Linked DNA regions of Elephas maximus indicus. The protein of the gene in region 2 purifies or fractionates together with the protein of the main gene of each other region. This does not show direct contact. Links are inferred from orthologs where the notes say so. Each region holds a gene or a part of one and is shown on either strand. Other genes may lie near its edges.

Region 1 (14,848 bases), on a different chromosome or scaffold from region 2:
TCATTTTTTCCCCCCTCTTGGTCCCTTACTAGAATACATGGATGATGTTAGCAAGTCAATCAAAGCAGTATAGATTGGCCACTTAGAATCCAGAGGTGAGTTTGTTATCTTGTGGAAATTATTGATATTGAGACTTTAACTTTCTAATAGTTTCATCTACCCAAAAGACCAAACTATAATCAGCAGGTTGCTGGGTGAACAGAGAATTAGAACTAAAGGAGCAGGATATTTTGGTGCATATAATTGGATAAATCATTATGCCTGATTTATGACATATTGTCATTATAGGTCCATGCATGTCCTACTTATATTCATCCATTTATTTTTTTTTAAATAATTTTTATTGTGCTTTAAGTGAAAGTTTACAAATCAAGTTAGTCTCTCACATATAAGCTTATATACACCTTAGTCCATACTCCCACTTACTCTGCCCCTAATGAGTCAGCCTGTTCCCTCCTTCCAGTCTCTCCTTTGGTGACCGTTTTGCCCGTTTCTAACCCTCTCTACCCTCCCATCTCCCCTCCAGACAGGAGATGCCAACACAGTCTCAAGTGTCCACCTGATGCAAGTAGCTCACTCCTCATCAGCATCTCTCTCCAACACATTGTCCGGTCCCTTCCATGTCTGATGAGTTGTCTTCGGGAATGGTTCCCGACCTGGGCCAACAGAAGGTTTGGGGACCATGACCGCTGGGATTCTTCTAGACTCAGTCAGACCATTAAGTATGGTCTTTTTATGAGAATTTGGGGTCTGCATCCCACTGTTCTCCTGCTCCCTCAGGGGTTCTGTGTTGTGCTCCCTGTCAGGGCAGTCATCGGTTGTAGCCAGGCACCATCTAGTTCTTTTGGTCTCAGGATGATGTAAGTCTCTAGTTCATGTGGCCCTTTCTGTCTCTTGGGCTCATAATTATCTTGTGACCTTGGTGTTCTTCATTCTCCTTTGCACCAGGTGGGTTGAGACCAATTGATGCATCTTAGATGGCCGCTTGTTAGCATTTAAGACCCCAGAGCCACTCTTCAAAGTGGGATGCAGAATGTTTTCTTAATAGAATTTATTTTGCCAATTGACTTAGATGTCCCCTGAAGCCATAGTCTCCAAACCCCCGCCCTTGCTCCGCTGACCGTCGAAGCATTCAGTTTATCCCGGACAGTTGAGCTGACCTTCCCTGTATTGAGTATTGTCCTTCCCTTCACCTAAAGAAGTTCTTATCTACTATCTAATCAGTAAATAACCCTCTCCCACCCTCCCTCCCCCGTCTTGTAACTACAAAAGAACGTGTTCTTCTCAGTTTATACTATTTCCCATTATCTTATAATAGTGGTCTTATGCAACATTTGTCCTTTTGCATCTGACTAATTTCACTCAGCATAATGCCTTCCAGGTTCCTCCGTGTTATGAAATGTTTCACAGGTTCATCACTGTTCTTTATCGATGTGTAGTATTCCATTATGTGAATATACCATAATTTATTTATCCATTCATCCGTTGATGGACACCTTGGTTGCTTCCAGCTTTTTGCTGTTGTAAACGGTGCTGCAATAAACATGGTTGTGCATATATCTGTTCGTGTGAAGGCTCTTATTTCTCTAGGATATATTCCGAGGAGTAGGATTTCTGGATTTTTTTTTTTTTTAATGGTAGTTTTATTTCTAATTTTTTAAGGAAACACCAGATAGATTTCCAAAGTGGTTGTACCGTTTTACATTCCCACCAGCAGTGTATAAGAGTTCCAGTCTCTCTGCAGCCTCTCCAACATTTATTATTTTGTGTTTTTTGGATTAATGCCAGCCTTGTTGGAGTGAGATGGAATCTCATCGTAGTTTTAATTTGCATTTCCCTGATTCATCCATTTATTTCATTTAAAAAATATTTCATTTCTAATTTTTAACAATTATTTTTTCTACTAATTTTTCTTTATTTGAGGTAAAATTTACATACAGTGAAATGCACAGATCTTAAATGTACAATTTGATGAATTTTGACAAATGTATAAACTTGTATAACCAAAACCCCAATCAAGATATTGAACAGAAAGTCCCCCCAGTTTTCTTTCAACTCATTCACCACTTGCCACAGGGAAATATTGTTTTATTTTCTATCACCATAGGTTTGCCTGTTCTTAAATTTCATATAAAAAGAGTCACATAGTAATTACAATATGTACCTAGTGTGTACATGTTGCTGAAAAAAATTAGCATAGCACACTTATGAAAATACCCTCCAGGGGAAGGGCATGGTTGGCAAACATAGAAGGCATGCCTTATTTGTGTGAAAATCAGTAGTCTTTTGTGTCTGACTTCTTTTGTGCAACATAATGTTGTATGTATCAGTAGCTCAGTCTTTTTTTATTGTGGAGTAGTATTCCATTGTATTCATATATCACAATTTGTTTGATTTGGATTTATTATAACTCAAGTATGGGAGAAAGGCCAGGGGAATCTTGCTCTCAGATATATTTCCTCTCAGTTGCTATCTGGTCAAATCTGACTCATGGCAATCCCATCTTTTTAAAGCATGAGGTTTTTTGAAGCTGTCTTTCCTTTTTTGGAAACTTTGAACCAATCATGAAAATTAGACTGCCTATAAAATAACTCAAGCCAGAGTCAAGGTCAGAATTTTAATAAATAGGGAGGTTCTTTTCATGGTGTTAGTACTTTATCACTTCAGGTTGCCTTTTTTATTCCTGTGTGAAGTTCTTTAAAACCCTTTTGAAATTTAGTGAGACTTATTTTGTGGCCTTGTATACATGGCCTGTTCTTGTTACTACAACATGTGTATTTGTAAAGAATATATGTTTTGCATGTTGGTGTTTTGTTCTATAGATTCAAGTAGGCCAAGGTGGTTGATTATGTTATTCAAATCTCTGATATTATTCCTCTTCTTGTTTTTTCCTAGTTTGTCTACCAACTCAAAAGATGATTGAAAAAGCAGAAATAAATGACAGATGGGACAAACAGAAAAAAATAACAGGACAATAGACTTAACCCCAATCATATTAATAATTATATTAAATATAAATGGATGAAATTTGTCTAATTATTCCTTAATTCTGTCAGCTTTTGCCTCATGTATTTTGAAGTGTGCAGAAACATTTGTGATTGCTATGCCTTCGTGATGAATTGACTCTTTTAACATTATCAAATGTCCTGCTTTATTTCCAGTGATGCTTGATTTGAAGTCTAGTTTTTGTTATGTTAATATAACCACTCCTGCTTTCTTATGCTTTCTCTGTGCATGGCTTCTCATTTTCCATTCTTTTACATTTATATTTCTTCATACTTAAAGAACACCTCTTATAAACAATATATAAAAATATATATACTCAGGGTTTTTTGTACATGTGTGCTGGTATGACAGTCTCTGGCTTTTATTAAAATGTTCCATGTATATTTAATGTAATTATTTATATAGTTGAGTTTAAGTCTACTGTCTTGCCGTTTGTTTTCTGTTTCTCTCATACGTCTGTATTACCTTCATTTCTGCCTTCTTTTGGATTGAGTATTAAGGTTGCCTTTCCTGTTCCTCCTCCCACCACTGCTGCAGCCCAGACTGCTCTGTGGCTGCTACCGTGGGAGGAGCTATGGTCTCAGGCCTGGCCATAATGCACAGGCCGCCCTGGCCGAGTGGGGCAGTGGCCTCGCGGGGCATCCCCTTTGGTGCTGTGGCAGCATCTGCATGGTCCCTGCCAGAGGTGAGCACAGTGGGACAGGCATGTGTGGATGGGCATTGGGACCCCTCCCTCCTGCCGCCCCAGGGCCGGGGTTGACACAGGATCCAGAGAGCTAGTGAGGGACATCTAGGATCTACAGTACTTACTAAAGTACCTCTGCTATGTCCTGTTCTCTGATCAGAATCTCTGAGCTCTGTTATAACCTTATGGGACCTTGGATGTTTGTGTGGTTGGACATTGCCCGGATGGACGTTATGCAGCACATACCTGTATATCTTTGTTTTATAGTTTCAGTGGATTGCATTATATATTCTTAACTTATTATCCATCTATCATGAACTAGTATTAAACATCTTCATGTATAATGTAAGCATTCAACAATACTATACTTCCACTTAACCCCCTTCTATCCTTTGCATTATTTTTGCCATATATTTTACTACTCCATATACTAACAGCCTTACAGTGTATTTTCCTCTTTAAATTGTCAATTGTATTTTAAAGTAAAAAAGAAAAGGAAAATGATTTTAAAAAAATTTTATAAACATATTTATATTTTCTGTGTTTACTATGTACTTTTCATTCCTTTATGTAGATTTAAGCTTCCACGTGGTATCATTTCCACCCAATTTGAATAATTTATATTTGTTTTTTTTTAAATAGTTTTCTTTTCGCTTCTAAGATTCTCAAACTGTTCACTCGTTATCGTCATCTTTACCTTTTAAGGCCTTGAACATGTTTATCATAAGCCCATTGCCATCAAATCAATTCTGACTCATAGCAACCTTACAGGATAGAGTAGAACTTCCCCATAGAGTTTCCAAGGAGCGCCTGGCGGATTTGAACTACTGACCCTTTGGTTAGCAGCCGTAGCACTTAACCACAACTCCACCAGGGTTTCCATAGGTGGTCTAGCTTTGTGGTACTCCAAGTTGCACTCAGCCGATCCTAGTCTACTACATAATAAGTATAGCGATTGAGAGTTTTTATAAACTTTTATAGCAATTTAATATTGTCACAATATTTTTATATATTAAAAGAAGTATTGGTTTTTAATGAATTAGGGAAAAAAAAAAAAAAACTGGTTCTTCATCAGTTTGAAAAGTGCAATTTAGGTTGTCCCGTGCCTCTATATCACAGCATTTGAAAGTCTCGTTGAAAGAACAGAGAAGAAATAGATAACTACCTATCATACTTGTAAAAAATGCTTGTACTCTATGCAAAATACAGCTGCTAACAAAGACACATATTTTTCTGATTTTGTGAGGTGGTGAGAGTGTTTTTCTAACACGGGTATTACTCTGTTTTATTGGTATCCGCCATGTTTATAGCTAAGCCTGGCATGTGTCCATTTGTTTTTAATATGTGTATATCAGAATATCTAGAGCTCTTTGAAGTGCTACTTTTAAAATGAAAGGGAGTAAAAGCCACTTAATTATATGAAATTCAGGTAGCTTGCATTCTTCGGCTTGATCCTTTGTGTTCTCCATTATCACATTCTGAGTTTTCCAGCACGAAGGCAGTTGTTGCTTTTGTACCCTCTCCCTTTGGACTGTGCACTAGCTGAACGTGCAAGTAAGGTTTTGAAAACTATCTGGGTTAAACCCCCACCCTCATTTTCCCCCACCCAGTGGTTTCTGAGTGACTTTATACAACTGCCTTGAGCATTTTTATACTGTAGTTTTCCCACATAAAATGGTGGTGATAATTTACACCTTTTGAAGTGAGTAAATTTCTAGAAAACTCTTAGATGAAACTACTGTAAAATCAAAGTAAGATTTCACAGTGATTATATGGCATTTTACTAGATTGAATGCATAGTAGAGAACTGAGTGAGATGCTGTTTACTCGAACTGTATGTATATTTATGAACATAAAGTGGTAGGTGAGATCGGGCTGCTTAGAAACAGGACAAAGGTTTCTGTTAAACAGCATACTTTTTCTTTACCAGGTCATTGCTATACCACGGTGTCTGCAAAGAGGAGTCATCTTATTCAGGCCTGTTGGGAGAATATACATGGATGCTTAGTCTGCTACTTGAAATGTATTCATTAATGTTGAAAGTCACATAATCTTAACTTTTCCTTGTGAATGACCAAATTTTTTGCAAGAGTGATTTCAATATATTTTTTAATGCTGTTTTTAATAATTTATTTTTTTATTGTTTTTTTAATTAACTTTTATTGAGCTTCAAGTGAACATTTACAAATCAAGTCAGACTGTCACATATAAGTTTATATACACCTTACTCCGTTCTCCCACTTGCTCTCCGCCTAATGAGTCAGCCCTTCCAGTCTCTCCTTTCGTGACAATTTTGCCAGCTTCCAACTCTCTCTATCCTCCCATCCCCCTCCCCCCCCGACAGGAGATGCCAACACAGTCTCAAGTGTCCACCTGATATCATTAGCTCACTCTTCATCAGCATCTCTCTCCTACCCATTGTCCAGTCCCTTTCATGACTGTTGAGTTGTCTTCGGGAATGGTTCCTGTCCTGGGCCAACAGAAGGTTTAGGGACCATGACTGCCGGGATTCCTCTAGTCTCAGTCAGACCATTAAGTATGGTCTTTTTGTGAGAATTGCGGGTCTGCATCCCACTGATCTCCTGCTCCCTCAGGAGTTCTCTGTTGTGCTCCCTGCCAGGGCAGTCATCGGTTGTAGCCAGGCACCATCTAGTTCTTTTGGTCTCAGGATGATGTAAGTCTCTAGTTCATGTGGCCCTTTCTGTCTCTTGGGCTCTTAGTTATTGTGTGACCTTGGTGTTCTTCATTCTCCTTTGATCCAGGTGGGTTGAGACCAATTGATGCATCTTAGATGGCCGCTTGTTAGCATTTAAGACCTCAATATATTTTTAAACAGGTAGAAAGATGAATAGATTCTGACACAATTTCAACATGAAATAGGCCCCGTGATCCTTCATTTATACTGTCAAAGTCTGTGAAAACACGGAGATTTATTGTTTCTGAACACTTGCCCAGATGAGATCAGATTAACAGAAGTTCGATATTGTAGTGGAAATTAGACAGATCTAGGTTAAAATGAGCTTTGTTATATTTACTTGCTGTGTGTTTATGCAAAACTCAACAAATGTCTTTGGTCTTTATCTATAAAATGGAGATAAATATATCCATTTTATAGAGTTGTCACTATTAAAGATTATGGATAAATTATATGAATGTATAGAGACCATTGTAGGCACTCAATACATGGTAGGTATTGTTACATTGGAGCCCTGGTGGTGAAGTGGTTAAGAGTTTGGCTGCTAACCAAAAGGCTGGCAGTTCGAACTCACCACTGCTTCTTGGAAACCCAATGGGGCAGTTCTGTTCTGCTCTGTCCTGTAGGGTCACTGTGAGTCGGAATTGACTTGATGGCAATGGGTTTATTGTTACATTCTAAAATACCAGTATGTTTGTATATGTGTGTGTTTAGTATATATGTGAGTGAAGCTGTTTTCTTAGACAGATCTTATGGTAAACCCTAACACAAGGGAAAAAACCAAAACCAAATCCATCGCTGTCGAGTCGATTCTAACTCATAGTGACCCTGTAGGACAGAGTAGAACTGCCCCATAGGGTTTACGAGGAGCAGCTGGTAGGTTCTAACTGCCGACCTTTTGGTTAGCACCCGAGGTCTTAACCATTGCACCACTGGTGCTCCAATAAAAGGGAAGGGGTAGCAAAGTTAAGATAGCAGAGATTGAGTGGGGCTGGTGCAAGGAGAAGGAAGTCTTGTCTACTCAGCAGTCATGGTCCTCAGCAAGATTCCATAGCCATTCCCAAAGCACTTCAGAGAGTCCTAGAGCTCTACAGAATATAGCGTGAAAAGCATTCTATTGAGTTTTAAATACCTTGAGTACAAGGACTGAAACTTTAACTGATACAGATGTAGCCTGTGGTCTTGCAGTACAGTAGATGCTTGACCACGGCTTGTTGAATGATTCAGTTAACTCAGCTTAACTACTTTAGAAGTCCTGTCTTCAGATATGACTGCTAAGTGGAGTTATAATTTGAAGTTGAATCAGCAAACCTGCTAGCAATAGCAAGCATGTGTTATTTAAAGGATGTAATGATAACATCATTATTTTTTCAGATCTAGGTTGGAATTTGCCATTGAAATATAAGAAAATGATGAGTGATGCAAGTGACATGTTGGCTGCAGCGTTGGAACAGATGGACGGTATTATAGCAGGTAATCCATGTCTTCCAGAAGCTGGAATCATGGCATGTACTCAGCTCTCTTGGCTTTTTCATTACAACTCTCTTATTATCTTCCTATCTTCTTTCTTGTTTCTGTGTTTTGACTCTCTCCAGTGCCTTTAGGTTCCCTATGGTTTCATCTTTTCTGCCCTTTTCCATTCTATACCAGAATTATCCTCAAGCATTAGTTTAAAATCCAAAATCCAATTAAAATCCAATTCCACCCTAGCTTCTGATCAATGATAAAGAATCTGCATCTTGATGATTCTGGTACAGTGGTCTGTGGGCTGCGCCTGGAAGGACACTTCTTTACCTAGTATCTATGCATGTTCTGATCTGCTTCCTTGAACTCAACATTCACTTTTCCTTCAGTGACTCTCTCATCCATATCTTTGACTTTCCCAATTCTTTGCTAAGCTTCAAAATTCTTTGCTATCTCTAACTGCCAACCAGATATCTCTCCTGAAATGTCCTGTAGGTACATCACTGTCATCATTTAACACATTAAGGTCGTTATCTTTCCTTGGAAGCCTTTCTGTTCATAACCCTTCATCCACATAGTTTCTTAAACAAGAAATTTAAGTCGTTCCAGATACTTTTGTCCCTCATGCTCCACATTTAATTAATCGAATTCTAACATTTCTACCTCCTCCTAAAATTCTGCCTCTTCCTTTTATCCTTTCTAGAATCTGTCCTGTCTGTGCTACCATTGTCTTGGCTTGTCCAAGACACCCACCCACTCGATGTCCGGATATTCTGGCTTTTCCACTCTAGTCCATTCTTTCCTAGACCACCAGACATCACTTTCTAAAACACAGACTTGGTTGGATTACTCCCTGGTTAAGAATCGTCAACAGTTTTCTATTGTGACAGCAGAGCAAAGATCACTACATCCTTGTTTGCTCATCATGGCAGAGGGGGTGACAAGTAGGTGACCCCCTTGCAGTGGTGGCTTCTCCTGAGGAAAGTGGCATGTCATAGTTTGACCTTATCTGTTATACTCTGTCCTAGAGACCAGACTTCAGTTGAATCTCCTTTGCATATTAGACTGCACATTGAATACTGTATTCAGTTTTTGGAATATTGTTTTCAAAGGGTTATTGGCAAGCTAAAAGTTGTCTAGAGGTGGCAAACATGATGGTGAAGAATAAAACAGTCACATTAGTAAAGATCATTTGAAGGAACTAGTTAAATGTAATCTAGAAAACTGTTCTTACTTGGGGCATGATATATGTTTTCAAACATTGAAGGGCTATTTTGTGGAAGAGAGATTGAACTGACTCTTCTAGGATATCTGAAAATATAACTAGAATCAATTCTAGGCTTTTGCCAGAGAGTATAACCTTACATTCTTAGCAAAACTCTGGTTGAGATAAGTGATTTTTTGGAGCATTATTTGAAGGATTTACGATTTATATATTCTCCTAGATTTTTTTTTTTTTTTCCTAGATGCCTTGTTGTGGAGGGATATGGGCATATATATTTATAGTAATCTCGTCAGTAATGCTAATGCTTAAGAACCACTGGAATGGGACTTGTATGTTTTAGTAAACAAGTAGTTTGTATATTTGACACATCAGAATGGGCTATGGATTAGCAGTGTGAATTTAAGTAGTATGGTAGAATGGTTTCATTGGAAGTAATAGAAAGCTAACTATATAAATGTTTTAACTATAAAACTAACCGTATAACTATTGTTAAAAAAAAGCTGACATTAACAGTAGCCTTTTTGAGGTTTAGGCTGCAAACAAAATCATGGGGAAAAGTATTTATACAAACATGCTCACACACACATACACATGTAATTCATTGAACTTCTTCAGAGATTAAATTCTGGTAAATTAACTGGAAACTGGCCTTCTTTTCTTACCTTTGAAATTATGCTATGCAGTTTCCACTTCAATGTGTAACTTTTTTAAAAGAGTTTAAAGACTTCCTGGTCCCTAAAATTTGTGTTTTCTGGAATGCGTAGCTCCATACAAACTGACCTGCCTCCCTCCGTCAGAGGTTTTCAGGTAGAGGCCAGTGTACTTCTTGCCAAAACCCACCGTACCTTTTTTCTGCTTAACAGTTGGCCTTTCTGTTAGGGATTGGACTATTGATTACAGCTGATTCTCATTGTTCGTGTAGTTATGTTCTGTAAATTCCTACGAACGTTGAATTAGTGAATACCAAACCAGGGTTGTACACTGAGCTCCTCAAATTTTTTGCCGCTCTCTGAGTGGACGTATCTGTGAATGACCACGAAAGCACCATGGGTATTGATTTTGGGGTTACAAATAAATTTTAGTGAGTAGGCCAGTTGGCAAATATGAAATAATGAGGATGGACTGTATATGGTATATTTTTGTACCATATAACTATGGTGTGGAGGGGGATTTACATGATTGAATTATTATCTGACCCCCCCCCCCCCGTGTTTTTTTCCCGTTCTTTGTTTTGGTTTGATTGTTCCTTATTGTAATTAAACTTGTTTACTATCTTCAGCTCTGGCGTTTTATCTAATGTAAACCCCATCGCTTTCCTTGTGATATTTTTAACCTAGGTTCTAAGGCCCTGGAATATTCTAATGGGATTTTTGATTGCCAGTCTCCCACCTCCCCATTCATGGGAAGCTTGCGAGCACTGCACCTTGTGGAGGACCTGCGTGGATTGTTGGAGATGATGGAAACAGATGAGAAAGAAGGCTTGAGGTGCCAGATCCCAGATTCAACAGCAGAAACGCTGATGGAATGGCTTCAGAGCCAAATGGTAGGTGTCTCTGCATGTTAAAAGCCCCATGCTGTGAATCTTTTGTCACTTATTCTAAAATTTAGAGGCTAGAGTAGCTGATTAGAACAAGAGAAAAAAAATTATAGTACAACAGCTTTGTTTTAATTTTATCCCTTATGTGATCCCAGTTCCCTTTTCACTCTAAGGAAAATTTTTTTAAAGTGCTGTTAGGCCGCCTGATTCTGCCCATAAAAGTGGACTAGCTTTTAGATTGTGTCTGAGTGACCTACTGTGGCTAAAACAAATAGTGCCATAAGGGACAAAGTTTGCACATAATAGATACTTTCTTAGTAATATTGGGAAGTTTACTGTAAAGGGACTGAGAGCAACTCTTTTTTTTTTTTAAATTAACATCTTGCATTCCTGTGGTACATTTGTTACAGTTGATGAACTGATACATGATTATTAACTAAAGACCTTAGTTTACTTTAAGGTCCACTCTTTGTGTTGTAGAGTCCTATGGGTTTTGACAATCAGGCAGACTATTTTTTTTGGTGGCAATAATATACAACCAAACATACCTCCATTCACAATTTCTACATGAACAGTTCAATGACACTGGTTACATACTTAACATTGTGTCACCAGTCTCACTATCTATACCCATATTGGGAACCCTGGTGGTGCAGTGATTAAGTGCTCAGCTGCTAACCAAAAGGTGGGCAGTTAGAATCCCTCAGCTGCTCCTTGGAAACCCTGTGGGGTAGTTCTGTTCTGTCCTATAGGGTTGCTATGAATATGGAGCTCTGGTGGCACAGTGGTTAAGAGCCTGGCTGCTAACCAAAAAGTCGGGAGTTTGAATCCATCAGCTGCTCCTTGGAAACCCTATGGGGTAGTTCTATTCTGTCCTGTATTGTTACTCTGAGTCAAAATCAACTCAACAGCAGTGGGTTTTTTTTTTTTTTTAATACCTATATTGCCTCATCGCCACTAATTTAGCTGTCTGTCCATTAAAGTTCTCATCTGTATCTATATGAGTTCAAATTGACAGCAGTTAACCCAATAGCCATTCTAGATGGAAAAGCATAATGAATAGATAATAGAGGCTTGTAGGAGTATTTGATGTAAAGTGCCATCTAGTGGTTCTTGGCAATCATTTCAATTCCGGTGCGCAAGTTAAGTTGTGGAGGTGGATTTTAAATGGTGCCCTTACTCACAGAACAGCAAGGCCTGTTCTAGGCATCCTTCTCAAAAACAGATGGCATGACAGAGCTGCCCTTTCTCTAATCACATTGGTAAATGCCCTGGTTTTAATATGTATCGAACACATAAAATGTAAAGAAGGTTACAAAAGCATATTCAAAGGAGAAGATGGAAAAGATGGCAGTTTGTAAGTATTTAAAGGAATCTTCAGTAAGATGCATTACTATGCTTATGAATTAGTTGTGTTTATAGAAAAGCTAATGCAAATCGTATGAAAGAATTAGGACCTGTTTTTGGATCTCTGGTGGAAATGGAAACTATTTGCTTTGGGAGACTTAATAGTACCTCCTATAGCTAATTTTTTTTTATAGCTAATGCGTTTTTGTGTGATATAACACAAATCCTGGTGTTCATACCAGTCTTCTCCTGAATGTTCTTTTGTTCCCATCCAACTTACCTCTGTATTCTGAGTGCAAATAGTACAATCGATCTTTTAGTGGTGGTGTCCCTACATAAACTTGACAATTGTAGATATTTTTTATTACATGGTGCCTCATTATTCAATTCTGCAAGCTTCCCCTCTACAGATTTAAGGATCCAAGTTTGCTGACTTCTTGGGGATTGCTTCATGCTCTGAATCTAGGTGTTTAGATGCATTTTTTCCTAGCCTCTGTCTACTTCCTTCTCATCCCTTCTATACCCCATATTTTTCTGACCATTCATTATAAAGTGGGAAAGAGATTTTCTGTTGAAAAAGAATCTGTTTCTAACCCATATCCAGAGGCCACCAAGCTAGCCATAGCAGAAGGGTACCTATGGTTGCATTTTTGACTTGTATCTGAAATATATTTATTAACATGCACTCAGTCTGTTCTATTAAAGTATTTCTGGAAAAGATAAAAGGTGATGATGATGGTATCTGGCTATAAGTCAGATCATGTCACTTATTCCTTTTTGACATGTCTCCAGTGGCTTCTCCCCTTACTCAAGAGTAACAAAGCGTGTTATTTCTATCTTAGCACTTACCACGTTCTTACATGCTGTGTTTTTTGCCATGTTTATATTTATATCATTTATGTTCTGTCTCTGCAACTGGACTGTAAACATCATAAATCAGGAATTTTTGCCTTGTTTAAAAACAAAACAGCTCACTCTATTCCTGGTGCCGAGAATAATGCCCGGCATATAGTAGATGATACTCAGTAATTACGTTTGTGATGATGTTTCACAAATGATAAAATCAGATTCACATTTGAGTGAACCGAAGTTGTTTGTTGTGTTAAATTTATTCCTTGGGTGGATAATAACTTGTTGGCTTGTGGTTTCGTTTGCTCCCTGTTTTAATATTTAATGTCTTAAAATGAAGTATCTACAAAATGGCAAATACTTTACACAACTTTTTAAGATTCCGTTTTCATCCAAAAGCAATAACACAACAAGCAAACAAACAAAAAACCCAAGATGTTGATCCAGAGATAATTCTTTTTGGCACCCATTTTTTGTTGTTGTTGCTGTTAAACTTGTTCTATGTCTGTCTAGTCTTCCGTCTTGACTCTTGCCCGTTCAAATTAAGTGTGCTTTTTTTTTTTTTCAAACACACTGTGAGTGAAAGAAGATGGCAAAGGGCAAAAAGTAAACTGGGAAAGAGAAAGCAGGAATGATTGTTTGGTGAAAAATGAGTAGTTTGAGTACATCTGCTGTGGTAACTTTATTTTTAGCACCAAAAGAGAACTTGAACCAGTTTCAAGAATCCAACATGTAGAAAGTCTTATGCTTATAACTTAATGATTTGCTGATAATGGTAGATTTCTCCCATTTTAATATTTCTGAAGTTACAATGTGTTTTATGTTCTAAAAAGTGAGATGTATACAAATTTTAGCTGGGATCTTTTTAAAATTAATAGTGTGACAAAAATTGATGGCATCTTAGAAACGAAGAAAGAGTATCCTAGCAAATTCCCTCTATATGTATATGAGGAAATTGCTAAAATAACAAATAAGGAAGTTCTGGTGTAGAAAAGCTGTAGAATGATGAAGGCGGCAGGATTTTATCTTAGTGGTTACAAATGTAGGCTCTGGAGATAGCAGACCTGAATTTTAATATTGGCTGTGACTCTTAGAAGCCTGTATGATTTTGGGAATGTTTCTTAAGCTCTGTGCTTCAGTTTCCTCATCTATCAAATGGGGTTGATGGTATGTGCCACACAGAATTGTGAGGCTCCTACAAGCTAATATATGTTGAGTGTTTGTCAAAGAGCCTGGCAGATAGCTAATTATAAAGGGAATACTGTGGAAAACATTTAACTGGTTACCTTTCCAGTGGGGGAAGGAAGGGCCCAGTTACAAAGGGGAGTTTTGTTACAAATTCCACACACCTACTTCATTTCTTGTGAGAAAAGGGTACAGAAATGTGGAGAAGCTCCCAATTTTGGAAAAGGACTTGTTAATGATACCAATTACATAATTACGGTTTCATTCGTGTTTAATGATAGCAGACTCTAGAGTCTGTGTACTTAGGCCGATATTAATCTTCTCATCAGTGTAACTGGACATTTCTAGCCAAAACATTCTGATTATTATTTTGCCTAGGCCGAGGAGATCCACAGGTTTCCTGTAGGATGTAGGTTATTCCTTCACTACTAATTTTTGCTGTTTGTTTAATACTTTCATTTTATCAGACGTGGGCAGCCACGAATCAGAATCAACAGCAGTTTTTTTTTTTGAGGGGGCACTGGTGGGAAAGTAAGAGAAAAGAAAATAGTAATACTAGTAGCCTATTACATTGAAAGGCTATTCAGTCTATAAGAATGATTTTGTTTTAATAGCATAGCTATAACTGCAGACTTCTAAAAATGAACAAATTCATTTTAAAATCAGAAGTTTTCTCCTGTGGCAAAAAAAAAAAACAAAACTACTGAACAGGACATATTCATTTAGCTCATTCCAGGCAAGAGTCTCTGTTTTGATTTTGAAATGTTATCATGTGTTAAATGATGGAGAGTTATGTGCTTTATTAAGCTCTAAGTTTAAGAGGGAAAATGGAAAAATATGTCTAGTTGTTTGAGC
Region 2 (14,983 bases):
TCAGGACAGGCTATGAAGAGACCAAGGCAAACCTTGGAGCAGCCAGAGTGATGAGACCAGCAGCCACCAAAGGAGACTGTAGACTCTCCTGCTTTGGAGATGTTTGAAAAAAGGGACTAGGGCAGAGGGATGACACATTGACCTCCTGAAAAGAACTGGTGACAGATTGTGGAGCACATAAAACATCAGGATTTTCTCTCTGCCCCATTGAGCTTGGGCACTGCTTAAGTCCCCGCCCCAGTCACTCTCCTTTGCCCCAGTGCCTGAATGATCTGATACTGGGGAGTATCCCATTACAGAAGTGGGGAACAGGGCAAAAAGAATCCAGGGGTTGGAGGGGGCTGGACCTGGAAAGAGAGATAAGGTCTCAACAGGAAGCAGGAGAGAGGCACTTGGGCTTGCCCAGCTGGTTTCCAATCTCTAGTCCAGAGAATTGCACACACATGAGCTGGCCAAGAGGCCTGGGGGATGGACTTATGCTTTGCCAGGATCATTCTGAGACTTGGATCCAGAGGTTGGGCTTAAATGGAGCCCTCAATTCCACCAGCACAGCCACCCCCATCCAAGGGAAGAGGCAGCTGGAGCTCCTATGGCTCAGACTTGAAAACCACTTCCCCCTTAGGGAGGAAGGAGGCAACACCCAAGAAACTTAGGGGCTGCAGCTAAGTGGAGGATACTGAGCAAGAAAGGAGAAGGTGCTGGATCTCACCCCTAGCCCAAAGCCCACGTGTAATTTTTTACCTCCCACTGCCCAGAAACCTCAGCTTCTCCCCACCTCAGGGAGACTCAACCAGGACCACAGTCAGAGGCAAGGGACTCTGGGCGTCTGCAGGGGTATCCTGGCTGGTTCTGATCTCCACCCTCACCTCCAGAGAATTTCTCAGGAAAGTTCTGGTAACCACAGTTCCACATACTCTAACCCATTCCTCCCTGAGCACACACCCACTTATCAGGCCAGACCTCCCTTTGCAGAGGGTCACACAGCTTGTCACCCTCTCATCTCATCTCCCAGCTCGCCCCACCGGATGATGGACACGAGAAGGAAGGACTCACCAAAGGAAGGAGCAAGCCCAGAGAATCGCAGCGGCAGAAACAGGTTCCCTCCCACTGCTCTCTGCCTTTATTCCCTTGCTCCAGTCCCCAGGAAACCAAGGACAAGAAAGGACCAATGAGAAGGGGTCAGGGACATGAAAAGGCCCAGGTCAGAGCCTCCTGGGATGGAGGTGAGGAGAAACCCCCTCCACCAATCTCATCTTGCTCGTTTACAGACAGACGGAATGGGGGCACTCTGAGTTCATCACGACACACAAGTCTTTGGAGCCAGAAACATTTTCCAATCCAAAAATCAGAACTCACAATCTGATGGGACAACCAGGAGTAAGGGGGGAAATCAGGCTGCCTGGAAAGAAAATCCAGGTGGTGTGGGTCAAACTCAGGGTGTCTCCCCATTCCCTAGACCGCTCTCCACATTGGGACACTACTACCCACCCTCCCAGTCACCCCAAGAGCGGAGCAAATGCACCTGGAGGTGGGGATCTGTGAGGGAAGATGTTTCCTGTCAAGGGCATGGGCAAGGTCACTGGCTAGTACAGAGCCTAAAGTATTTAAGGTGTTTTTAAAGAAACGATTTCTTCTAAACCTCACTGATGTTCATGGGAAAGAATTGTTGGAGACCCTTGGAGGACAAGAAGCAGGAATTGGCGAGGGGATCCAGGGAAGGGTTAGGACCTAGTGATGGGGCAGAGTCCAGGTTCAGGGTGCAGTCATGGATCAGGTAGGGAGAAGAGAGAGTTGCCCACATTCCAAAGAGGATAAGACACCAACCAGTCCGAGTATGAGACCATTACCAAGTTAGAAGCTTAGCAACCAATGGTTGCCACAGTATCACCTTAGCCTGCCTGGGACTTCCCCACTGCCCACTCTACCCTCACCCCTAGCTGGCAGGGCTAGAAAGGCAGCAGGGACTGGTTGCTAGGCAACAGGAGTTTCCGAAGCAGTGAGTCAAGCGGGAGTCCCTGGGGACGGCACAGGCTGGGGGAGGAGGAGTAAGGAGGGAAAGAGAAGGGGGAGAAAGCAAACTTTTTCCTGGATCAAAATTCTTCCCAAGTTTCCGTGGCCAAACTCTGAGGGAACCTCTGAGTCACCTACCGCATGTTTCTGAAACTTAAGAGAAAAACACAGTGTAATGAGTGGAAGAAGGAAAAGCTTGAGAGGTCAAGGGGACCAAACGCTGCCTCTGAACCTGACCTCGACTCATGTCTTCCATCAAGGTACGCGATACCATCCAGGCATGGCCTTGAGGTCCAACATCAATCCTGTCCACTGCACACTGGAACCCACTGGGTTTAACCTACCCTAATCTTTTTTTTTTAATCAAAGCAACATCATGCCTGACATTTTCTGGGAAAAAAAAATCTCAATTTCATTTATCAGATCATGTCCGAAGTTTTGTCTCAAAAAATATGGTCACTTCCCCACCATCTCCCTCACTCCCACCCTAGCCACCAATCTCCACTCATCCTTCCCAAGGCCCCTTGTCCTTCTCTGAAAGCCATGATCCCTAATTGGTAACAGATCTCATCCCATGGGACTTTGGAGCAGGGACAGCGGGTTGGAGAATGGCTATATTCTCATGCTGCTGCAAACAGCCCAATCTCTCTCTGTATCGCCTCCCTGATCCAAACATGGGCAGCAAAGGATTAATCCATCCCTGTGGTTTGAAGCCAGTGGACTGTAAATGTCAGGCCTGAAAGCCAGCCCTCTGGCTCAGGAAAACCTCCCCCACACACACCCCGGCCTCAGCTACTCCCTCCCCATGACTCAACTTTATTTCCTCCCTCCCCCCCCTTACCCTCAGGGCACCCAAACTCTTTTTCCAGACCCCCATCTAGGAGCAGATGTGACCTTCAAGCCCATCCCAGCCTCAGTTAGAGTCCCTGCCAGAGGCAAGGCTGGAACAGGATGGGAGGCGAGAATGGGCTGGCTAAGATCTCACAGTTGGGCATTCCAAGCTTCTGGTGGCCCCTTTCCCTGCCTTCAGCCCCATCCACAGTCAGCTGTCGCCTCCCACACACGCACACCCTCAGTCACTCCACGCCCCTCCCCCATCTTCACTAGTCAGCTCCCCATAAAACTGCACTTCAACTACCAGCACTGCCCACCACCATCCCACAAACCCTTACCTCCCCTGGTATCCCCCTTAGCCCCCAGACCAGCAGGCTCTTGGTTTTCAAGAATCTTTATTGAATTTGCTCCGCATCATGCACATGCTTAGAGGAGCCGGGGTAAGTGACCACCCCCACTGCCTGCAGGGGAGACCCCAGCCAGCAGAGCCCCCGACCACATATGAGGAACATTCATTTCTTCCTGGGCTGCTTATCAGGGCAGCCTTCAAAGAACTCGTTACACATCATGGCAATGCAGGACAGGAAGACAGAGTACTCCTGGAAGTCCACCTCATTGTCCTTGTTGCTGTCCAAGTTGCTCATTAGCTTCTGAAACGCAGCTTCATCCGTTCTTTTCTGGAGGAAGAAGAGGCTACAGGTAAAAACTGAAGCCCAGTGGAAGAGCCAAGACTAGAACCAGGTTTCCACCTCAAACTCAGAGCTCCAAAGGCTTACATAGCCACTCTCTTAGGGGTCTCGGCCTTTGAAACTCCAACCCTCAGGGCTAAGCTACAACAGGAAGAGGATGTCCCTGGGATGAGGAAGAGTTTCCTGAGTACCTGGATGTTGTCACTTGAAAAATGGGGCCACAACATCTTCTCCCAGGGTTAAGAATCCAATTAGTTTTCCTGAGGGGTTTATGTTAATGGTGGTAGAATAATTTGGAAATGAATCAATGTCATTGAATTATACATGTGGAAATTGTTGAATTGGCTTTGTTTTGTTGTGTGTATTTTTCACTACAATTTAAAAAAATTCAATTAGGTAATGGTCATGAAAGCAATACATAAACTGTATAAAGTTTGATACAAATGGAAGCTGTTATCATTTGGGGGAAGGTCTGTAGGGGTATGAGGTGTCTCCATAACTGTATCTTCACATTCACAGGACAAATTGAAATTCAAAGATCGTCCATTCCTGGAGTAGTCGCAAGACTCAGGCAGTCTGTTCAAATCTCAGTTTTGTGCTCTAGATGCCTTGGGAAGTTATTTTAGCCTCTTTAAGCTTCAGTTTTCCTTCCAGTTAGGTTATATAGTCAGTGCAAAACATCGCATAGTATCTAGGCCATCATCTACCTGTTCAGCCTCAGTCTGCTTCCTGTCTGGGACTAGTCAGTGAGTGGGGGTGTTCACTGTGCTTCTGCGCCAGGCATCCAATGCGAGCTCTCTGCCCCATCTCCCACTGCCCCGTTCCATAGCTAATGGTCTACAAAAGACCCATGCCTTCCAGGGCCTTGTCCTTCCTGCGTGGGAACTCCCCATGGGGGCATCCTCCGAGGTGGCACCTACTCACCCCTAAGAAGCTGGGAAGCTCCCGGGTCAACAGCTCCTTTAGCTCTGACTTGTTGAGCTTGAACTTGTCACCCTCCTTGCCTGAGTACTTGTGGAAAGTGGACACCATCACATCCAGGGCATTCTCCAGAGGGTGTGCCATGGCAGCTGTCAGGATCTGGGGGAGAGGCACCCTTATCTACCCCACCCCCAGCTATGTGTCCACAGTGCCCCACCCCACTCCCCATCCCTCTAGGATCCCTTGGTGAGATACTACTTCCATGGTGGGAGGAGCCCAGGAAGGTGGGCTCAGCTTCTAGGGGTGGAGGTGGGCATGTGGAGCAGGAAATACATGCTTGGAGTAGCAAACATGTGCAGGGCCCACTGCACGGGCTCTGGAGATTCAGGCTGGGTCTCCCCAGGGCGGTGGCTCAACAACAACGCTTTTTCCACAGCTCAGTCAGTTCATTCACCCCCAAAGCCAGCCCACAGCCTCCAGCCCCAGCCCATTCTTTTTGCTCCCAGTGCTGGGCGCGGCCCCTGGAAGCCTGCCCAGGGGCCCATAGCAGGAAAAAACCAGCCGCCTTGTGCCTGGTGTGAGGCAGGGCAGGACAAAGTGGCACAGACAGGGATTAGGAGGAAGAAGGGGAGGCGCAGGGCTGCATGGCTCCTTGCAGGGCTCACATGACACCACCAGACAGAAACCCACAGTTGCTTTCAGCCTCCATTTGCCTTACCACACCTGACCATGCACACACAGTCTCATGCAACCCAGCAAACACAAGCTAGTGTGCCTTCACATGGTCACGCACACACCAAACACACTGCAGCGACAGTGTATGCAACTCCCAGCATCTCAGCCCCCCTCTGACCTTTCTGTGTGTTTGTTTTTCTGTCTTACAAACACACACATCCCACCCCAGAGCCTCCACATCAGGATCTTACATCTGGATCCATTTACCATATCTGGCCCCCACCCACTTCCCCTTCTCCTGCCCCAGAGCCTTGGTCTGACACCTCTTTCATGCCAGTCAGGCGACCACAACTCACCAGACCAAGCGACAGGAAACGCTGAGCAGAGAGAAAGGGCTGGGGAGAGAGAAAAATGGGGGAAGCTCAGCGGTCTGACCTATTTATACCCTGGCCAGGCCCTGCCCATGGCAGGGGATGGGGGAGAGTGGAGACAGCCCTCCTGCCGTGGGCCCATGTGGTAAGTGCCACGGCCCCTCAACCAGCCCAGCCTGGACACAACCTTCCAGCCCCCAGCAGGCACAGATGGGCAGTGGGTGAGCACAGAGGGCACAGACAAGGACCTCCATGGGTGGGCACCACCCAACATATAGAGCTCAGCCCTTAGGAAGCCGGAAGGAGGGGCCTAGCATGTGCAGAGACAGGGAAGGAGTAGTCACCCCAGGCAGTAGGAAAGCTAGGGTTGGTGGGCGACAGATGGGAAATTCCCCTGGATATATGGCTGCCCAGAAACCAAGGGAGGGGAGCCCTAGGCCTAGTGCTGCAAGGAATGTCCCAAATGGAGCTCTACCAGGTTGAATAAGGCGGGGGGTCGGAGAACCAGAGGTCAGGAAGGGGAATGGACTAACCCAAAGGAGGCTGTGGGAATGCCTGAGGAATGTTTGCAAAGAAAGGTCCTGGGTGAGGCAGTGACAGTGAGGAGTGGGGAGCCAGGCATGAGCGCACAGGGATAGACTGAAAGGGGCTGGGGCTTAGGGGTAGACTGTCAGGATGGGGAGTTTAGAGTTCCAGTGGGTGTCAGAAATGAAAAATCCAGGTTGGGGTGGAGAACTGGAGGTGAAATGGTTCAGAATGAGGGAGTCAGGGGTCAATGTTAAGGTCCCAGGGTTGGGTGTAAGCTCAGGGATAAAGTAGCTTTGGCCTCAGGGATAGGCTTTCCTCAAGGTATCCCTTCCCCCTCCAGCTCAGGCTGGGAGCAGACACCTCAGACACCCTAATCCTATTACTACTGCCTTCTGGGCCACCACAGCCCAGATTGGGAACAAACACCCCACCCACCCACCCCCAACAGCCCCTCCCCTCCTGCTCAGAATATCCTGACTGGGCAGAGTTCAGCAACATGGTCCCCAAGGAAGCTTAGGCTGCCCTCCTGCCCTCCATGAAAGCCCAAGGGGACCTCTCCCTCAAAAAGCCCAGAGAAAGAGAGGCTTTCTCAGGTCCTCCCAGGACTGGAGTCCTGTGTGTGACCCTGCCCCACCTACTGGAAACTTCAGCCCCTTTCATTTCTATGGGGTCTGAAACTACCTTCAGGGTCCTCTGGGAACTCAGGGCTCCTCCCCTCAGCCTCCTGTCCTCATTGGAAAAGACCAGAAAGGAGCAACAATCTCAGCAGAAGAACCAAACCAAGTCCAGCTGACACCAGTTCTTTATTAGGAGTTAATAGGCCCTTTCCCATCCATGGTCTCCTGTGTGCCCATACTCTGCTGAGCCTTAACTTCCTCAAAACAGACTCCCACCTCTTCCCACCCTGGCCCACAGGCCCCAGGTAGAAGGTGCAGCCCTCAGAGGGCAGGATGGAGCCAGTCGCTGCTCTACCCACCACCAGGTGTGCATCCTTGGCAAGGTCCCTCAGATCTCTGAGCTTCCTTGTAAAATGGGTCAACGTATCAGGGGTGAATCTGGGGGACTCTAGACTGAAAGAGGTACAGGCCAGAGGGCAGGGAGGGGTATGGTGACCTGCCCAGGACCACCTCAGGGGCAGAGGTGGGCCAGACCGCTGCACTCCAGGCTGGCCCATTCCTCTGGAGCAGAGGCTACTGGGAGCAGGGAGGATCCGAGGGGCAGTCCTTGAAGTACTCATGGCAGTAGAGACAGAGGCAGGCTAGTGAACGCACGTACTCAGCGAAGTCCACCTCACAGTCCTTGTCGGTGTCCAGAACACGCATGAATTTATTGTAGTCACACTCTCGAAACTCCATCTGTGCAAGGGAGGGGTGTAGGGGGCAAGATGAGGAGGGCCAAGCAGCTTCATACACTCCTGTCCTCCCTCCCTTCCTAGGTGCTCCCACCCCATCCCAATCCACGTCCCTTGGGAGGGCCAGCCTCAGCCTACCTGTTCTGATGATGAGCCCATTTCAATCCCCCTCCCAAAACCTCCTTCTCACATCATTTATTGAACACCTACTTTTTGCCACTGAGTGCCTGCTATGAGCCAGACATTTTTCACAGTGCTCTCGGGCAATACTTGCAACAACCCTGCAGGCTGCAGGTGTGATGATTGTTCTTCCATTTCACAGACTAGGAAACTGAGGTTCCTGCTGTGTCAGTCCCCTTGCTGTCACCTCCATGCGGTCTAGCCTCCACCCTTCCTGCTGTCCTATGCTCATACTTGTCCCCAGGTCTCTCTTTACAGAATCCAAGCAGTACCTCCTCACTGGATGGGGAAGGAGGATGGGCCCCGGGCTGCTCACCGGGGTCCAGGTGGGCATCTCGTTCTGCAGCAGCTCCTTGAGCTCCGCCTGGCAGAGCTTATGCTTATCCCCACAGCGCCCTGCATACTCCCCGAAGGTACACACGATGGTAGCCACCGCCTGCTCCAAGGGTCTGGTCATCCTCACTGTCACAGAACAAGGGTGTGACTCACGGCGGAGGTCCAGGCCAGCCTCCCTGCTCACCTTGCCCTCTGCATTCCCCAGACACTGCTCCCAGACCATCTTACTCTCCCCTAGGCTTTGGGCCACAAGCTACCCCCTCTCTGAGCAGCCCTCTCTGACCACACCAATCAAAAAAAAAAAAAACCAAACCCATTGCCATTGAGTCAATTCCAACTCATCCTATAAGACAGAGTAGAACTGCCCCATAAAGGGTTTGCAAGGAGCACCTGCTGGATTCGAACTTCTGACCTTTTGGTTAGCAGCTGAGTGCTTTAGCCACTGTGCCACCAGAGCTCCCTGACCACACCAGCCCCTCCTAATTCATCTCACTACTGCCCCCTGGGTGTTATTTTCCTGGGTGGGAGTCTCATTTCCCTCATTTCACTGAAAACCCCTCAAAGACAGAGTGTCTGTCTGACCCTTCCACCTTCCCTCCCCACCAAGAGAGTCCCTCAGGACTCTCTGGTTCTCTCCCACCTTTACTCAGTCCCCAACACCAAGGAAGGGCCCAGCCCCACTCCGTAGGTGCAGCCCATGGCCCTAGAAGTCTCCTCCCTCAGGACCCAGAGTTCCTTCCCTACGAACTCGCCCAAGGAGACCCTCAGCCAGCGCTGCCTTATCCTCAGGCCCTTACAGACGCTGGGCAGTAGAAGGACAGTCAAGTCTAGGAGGACCCCTGCCGCCTCACCACCACTCCTCTAGTGATCCCTCTTCCCTCAAACTGAAGGAGGCTGCATCCAAAGGGAAAACTTCTAGAATCCTCTCTACCTCTCTCCTAACTGTGACAATGGTGCATTTATCCTATCTGGATCTCAGGTGCCTTACCTATAAAATGGAATTAATCCCACCCCACGGCCTGGTCAGGGACTTGACCCAGATGGCCAGCTCCAGCATTTACCAACCCCTGACCCTCCCACCCGAGACCATCCCCTGACCCAGGGATCTTGAGATAGAAGGCCCTGTTAGAGGGGAAGCCATTCCTGGAATTGCCCACCTCCTCCAATTCCGGTGTCCCCACCCAGTACTCTCTGGGAGGAGGCTTCTAGCCCGGGGAACCTAAGGCAGCAGGAAGGCAAGAGTTGTTCCCATGTGAGCCTAATGACTCACCCCTGGCTCCCCCAGGGGACGGGAGTCCTGCAACGAAGAGCAGCAACCACCAAGGCTCTCTCCTTAATGATTCACCCTTTGTGGGCCCTGTGGAGCAAATGGCCCACGTGGCTGGTGGGTGGCGGGAAGGCTTGGGTGGTACCAAAAACTGCCCGGGCTCTAACTCTGACAGCCAAGGATTAGAACAGGGTGTCCAGGAGCCCAGGATAGGAAGGGGCCATGATCCTAGGGGCTAAGGGAAACTCAGAGGTGTTCAGCATGCCCTTCTGGGCCCCCGCCAGCCTGCCTGGCACCACCACTGTTGCCATTCCAGAAGCTGGGTGCCTGGAGACTGGCTGGGAATCCTCTCTTTCCTGTGCAGCCCTGGCCTGTCTCAACCCGTCCCCAGGAATGAAGCAGAGAAGCAAGGAGGAGGCAGAGGGAGCTCACTGAAGGTAACGCCCACATTTCTAGCCCATGCCCCTACCCAGAGCCAGATCCCAGCTCTGCACACCTCCTAGCCCAACTTCCTGACAGCCGCTCACTGCCAAAGGGAACCCCCCAGCCTACCATATCTGACTTCTCTCACCCTGTCAATCCCTGCCATGGTCATCCTTCTGCCCCCATGCCCAGACCTTGATCCAGGAGAGAGGCAGGCCATTGGGGGCCCCTGAGTTTCCCCAACACCCTACCCAAGGCAGGACCCAAGCAGCTGGCACTCACCACTGGGTTGACGTTTCAGTTGTAGGAGCCTAGAGACAGGGCATCCCTATTTGTAGCTTCCCAAGAGAGGAAGGGAGTAATTATGGGGTACTCAACTAGGTCAGCTTTGGGGATGCCCTAGGGGCTCCCCGCCTCCTTCCTCAGCAGCCTCTATTACAGCCCTAGCTGCCCACCTGTTCATGAACACATCAAAGGCCCAGTCTGGGGTCTCAGACAGTGCCCCGTGCCCTCCCCCAGAGTCAGGAGCTGGGTGCAGCCTCCTTTTCTTTTCCTTCCAACGTGGTTTGGAGGACATAGGTTGGGCTGGTCCGTACATCCATCCTCCTAGCTCTTCACTCTGAGGAGATACCCCAAGAATACAAAGTGGGGAAACAATTTTCCCTCACTGAGCTGGCTCTCCAGAGAATCCCCTTGCCAGAGCAAGGACTTTCAGGAGAACCTGGTTGAGCCCTTTCACTTATAGATGAGAAGGCCGAGACCTGAGATATCCTCCCTGCCTAATCCCTAGATCACTTTTTCGGTGCTTCATCATTTTCTTTCGAATATGAACTGCTCAGTTCCCTGGGGAAAATCTTTGTGGGATTTCTTTGAGGTGTAGGATGAAGTCATAAAGATGTGTTCCTCCTAGTGCAATTGCAGAAGCTTGGGCTTAAGTTTCTTGCCCTCCCTTGCCCCACTAAGTGATACAGATGAATCTGGGCTGCTGTGTGTCTAGAGTTACTCAGGGGCTGTTTCCTTTCCTCTTCTGCTCTGTTTAGCACCAAGGCAACTTTTCTTGCAGTCCCACAGGGGTCAGGTGGGGTTTCCTCTGACTTTTAGCTTAAACGTGTAGCTCTCTGGGGTCCCAGCATTATGGAGGGCCTCCCATTTGTCTCCCCTCCTCAGGTGAACCCGAGGTCATTCCTCTCTGGCAACCATCAAAGCCAAGTTCAGGTGCCTTGGTTTGGCTGGTGCCCTCAGGGCCTTGGTGCTCTGGTCACCTCCTGGACTTGGCTTCCACTTCAGAGTGTGGCCTACTCATTTCTTACTCCCCTGTCAGCACTTTGCTGCTTCAAAAAAGACTTTGAAATTCTATCCAGCAATTTTAGTGGTTTTTCGCTGTTAGTTTTTTCCAGAAATGGAAATCCCTTCATAATGCTTCCCTAGTCTCTCCCCCATCCTCTAAGCCTGAGAGGCCCCCTGCCCGCTTCACAGGAAAAGAACCCAAGACCCAGAAGAGCATGGGAGAGGGAAAAGAGGTTGCCCCCATGACTCTGAAGAAGTCTTTAATGAGATTTTGACCTCACCTCAAGCACCCAAACCTTGCGGATACCATTATCTCCTTGAAGACTCAGCCCCACGTGCGTGATGGGAGAGAGCAATGGGGGAGGGAAAATGGGAGGGAGAGCTGTGATTAGCCTTGTTTTATAGGCAAGGAATTATGCGAAGGGGGGTGAGCAGAGACCAAAGGATGGTCACTCAGCAGACGTGAGGAAAACCCTGGACCAGCAATTAATTCAGATCTAGGTCAAGCACTTATTCCTGCCTATGTTTTTTTTTTTTATGATATTCTAGCTCTGCCCCCAGCCACCTCCCTTAAGCAGGCCACATCACTCTTTGGGTCTGTAATGGATTGAATTGTGTCCCCCAAAAAATGTGTCTCAAGTTGGCTAATCCGTGATTCCCAGCATTGTATGATTGTCCACCATTTTGTCATCTGACGTGATTTTCCTATGTGTTGTAAATCCTATCTCTATGATGTTAATGAGGTGGGATTAGCGGCAGTTATGTTACTGGGGCAGGACTCAATCTACAAGATTAGGTTTTGTCTTAGGTCAATCTCTTTTGAGATACGAAAGAGAAGCTAGCAAAGGGACGGGGGACCTCATACCACCAAGAAACCAGAGCCAGGAGAATAGCACGTCCTTTGGACCCAGGGTCCCTGTGCTGAGAAGCTCCTCGACTGGGGAAGATTGATGACAAGGACCTTCCCCCAGAAGCAACAGAAGGAGAAGGCCTTCCCCTGGCACCCCAAATTGGACTTCTAGCCTCCTAGACTGTGAGAAAATAAACTTCTGTTTGTTAAAGCCATCCATTTGTGGTATTTCTGTTATAGCAGCAGTAGATGACCAAGACAGGGTCTCATTTTCCTCCTTTGTCAGTGATGGAGGATAACAATGGCAACTACTTCAAAGAGTTGCTGTGGAACTTAAATGAGTGTTTACATACAAAGCTCATAGAAGAAACAGTGCCTAGCACATAGAAAGGGCTCAAAAAATGCTGAGAAGTTGGTAACTTGCCCAAGGTCACATAACTAGTAAGTAGTAGGCCTAAGATAAATTCACTGCTCGTATAAATATTTAGAGGTACCCATACTAGGCACTGCAAACCCTGGTGGAGCAGTGGTTAAGAGCTATGGCTGCAAACCAAAAGGTCAGCGGTTCGAATCCACCAGGCGCTCCTTGGAAACCCTATGGGGCAGTTCTACTCTGTCCTATTGGGTGGCTATGTGTCAGAATTGACTCAATGGCAATGGGTTTTTTGGTATACTAGGCATTGGAGCTCTGGTGGTACGGTGGGTAACAAGCTCAGTTGCTAATTGAAAGGTTAGAGGTTCGAGTCCACCCACAGGTGCCTTGGAAGAAAAGCCTAGCAATCTACTTTTGAAAAATCAGTCATTGAAAAGGCTATGGAGAACAGTTCTACTGTGACACACATGGGGTTGCCAGGAGTCAGAATTGATTTGACAGCACCTGAGGGTATAGATATAAACAAAATAGGTGAAGTCCCTGGTCCGAGGGAGATGACAATCCAGTGGGGAAAACAGACAATAAAAAATAAATGTGTAATAGTGATCCAAACATTATAGAGAAAAATAAACCAGAGATATGGGAAAGAAAACAATGGTGAGGCCATATATGAGTGGTCAGGGAAGAACCCAGCAGCCTGGCTCCTTACCCACTAGCCTTCTCAGCTCAGCCGCACAGCCCTAGGAAGCAGCACTTTTGTTTGCTGACTGGGAGAGCTGGAGAGGCTGAGACGGAAGAGGGGGCAGGAGCTCCCTCTGGGAAGGTAGGTAGCTGAGGAGTGGGTGGGGGAACAGAAAGGATGCGTGCAGGCACTTTGGGCTTGGGGACTGTTGTGGGAGGAACACTTACCCTGACCCTCACTTCAAGTTCCACCACCCTCTTGCCATCTGACCCCAAGCACGTGCCTTACTTTGTTTGGGCCTTAATTTCCTTGACTCCAGAATGGGTTCAGAAGATTCCAACCCAAAGAATTCAATGTAATAAAGATTGTGAAAGTACTTCATATCACTTGCCATTACCGTGGACGATGCCGGGGCAGAGATCTGAGTCTAACTCAACAAACGAAGGCTCAGTCACCTCCATGGAGGGCAGGAAGGGGATGTGGAAGGAGAGGGCCAGCCCCTGCTCACCAGGTCATTCAGTGCAGCCTTGTACCTCCACAAAGGTAGAGGGTAGAGCTATAACTTCTTTTGCCTGCCCAAATGCTTCTTGTGATTGGAACCTCCCTGCCCTGCAGAAAATTCTTCCCCAGCAACTACCCTGTATCCCACCGTGGCTCCAAATGCATACCGCAAAAACCATCCCTCTAAGGCCCAGACAGGAACCAGCTTCCCCTTTTCCCAGCCCCTACTGGCCACACACTCAGTCCTCCACCTTTGGACAGAGCCTGGTCCCCTTGGCCTCTCCCCTTCCCAGAACTCCCCTGGTACAGATGTTGAGCTGACCGCTGAAAAATGCACCGCACCTGGAGGATAAGAATCTCTCCCTGCAGGCAGGAGCAGGGTGAGGGTGTATGAAGGGTGAGAGCAGGTGCTATCTGATCTGGCAGGACTTCTACAGCACTGACCCTCTCCGTCTTTCTCTCTCTCCCTCCCTCTTTCTTCCCATTATCACCATCATCTCCTGGGAAACTGCACTGCCCCCCTGAAGGTCAGTGTCTGGCTCTGCACCTCCGTCAGATATCATACGTAAGAAGCATCCTAGAGCACCTGGACATTTCATGTGTTTGTGTCAAAAGGGCTCCACGGAGGGTGATCCTGCCCCCAATCCCGTAGTCTCAGGTGATCAATGAGCCTTGTCAGATTGATTGACCTCCTTCCTCATTCTCTCAGCCACATTCAGGGGAAGGGTAAAACCCCTTGCCATCGAGTTGGTTCCAACTCATAGCGACCCCACAAGACAGAGTGGAACTGCCGCATAAAGTTTCCAAGGAGTGGCTGGTGGATTCAAAATGCCGACCTTTTGGTTTACAGCTATAGCACTTAACCACTATGCCAGCAGGGCTTCAGAAGGGGTATTTGATTACTGGGGCTGGAACCGAGGAGACTTTTGCTCCATAACTGGGGAGAAGAGGATGTGAAGTAGAATTAAGGAGATACAGTGGGGCTTGGACCTAGTACCTCCTTTGATTGGCAAGCCAATGCCTGAGCGTGCCCATTTCACAGATGGAAGCAGTGAGACAGTGGGGAGATCCAGTGCTCTAAAGATGGGAGCATGAGGAGCCCTATTTCAGTCACTCCCTTGCCACAGAATCCACCTTTGTCCATAGTCTCCCTTTTCATGGAGGATCAGTAGGATTCCAGGGCCTGACCCAAAAGAACAGAGGCCAGAGTGGCAATAGGGCCAGGACACGAACGGAAGTGAGATGTGTATTCCTGAGGCTCTCCTCCTAGCTGCAATTCCGGGAAGAAGTGGGAGAGAACCCAGCCAACCGCCCTTTGAACGGTGCCATTTTGTAGGCTCTAAATCTCTCTGCCTCAAAACAGAAACTTGGGAGGAGGGCCTGGGAGGAAAGTGTGGTGTTTGTTACGTTGTCAAATACCCAGAAGGAAAGGAAACCAACACCCTTCAGAGCCTAGGCACCTGGGAGCAGCTCCGGAGGCAGCCAGCTGAGGCCAGTCTCCAGCAGCCAAAACAGCCCTAGAACCTGGGACTGAGCCCCAGCAGAAGCTAGGACCCATTGTGAGCCTAAGGCCCAAAAGAACTCAGACTGTAGTAATCTGAACCACCATCAAGTTGGGCCCAACTCCTCCATTGGCTCAGATTGGGGAGATCAGGATGTCGGAACTCTGCTGACCAAGGTCCCCTTCACCTCAAGGAAAGCCCAG

The links.
Region 1: the proteins of S100A4 (region 2) and PPFIBP1 purify together in Homo sapiens (co-immunoprecipitation; 3 studies listed by BioGRID and IntAct, with this or other methods). This does not show direct contact. The link is inferred for Elephas maximus indicus from reciprocal best matches to the Homo sapiens genes S100A4 and PPFIBP1.

Annotation. Positions count from the first base shown.
Region 1 is NC_064822.1:86,399,714-86,414,561, forward strand, and holds the start of PPFIBP1 (liprin-beta-1), read left to right. Parts: upstream 1-7,760; 5' UTR 7,761-7,795; coding exon 7,796-7,859; intron 7,860-10,412; coding exon 10,413-10,618; intron 10,619-14,848. UniProt on the Homo sapiens protein: May regulate the disassembly of focal adhesions. Did not bind receptor-like tyrosine phosphatases type 2A.
Region 2 is NC_064821.1:191,396,247-191,411,229, forward strand, and holds S100A4 (protein S100-A4), read right to left. Parts: upstream 5,575-14,983; 5' UTR 5,486-5,574; intron 4,614-5,485; 5' UTR 4,599-4,613; coding exon 4,458-4,598; intron 3,522-4,457; coding exon 3,357-3,521; 3' UTR 3,223-3,356; downstream 1-3,222. Other genes in the region: S100A3 (protein S100-A3), read right to left, coding at 7,219-7,383, 7,876-8,016. UniProt on the Homo sapiens protein: Calcium-binding protein that plays a role in various cellular processes including motility, angiogenesis, cell differentiation, apoptosis, and autophagy.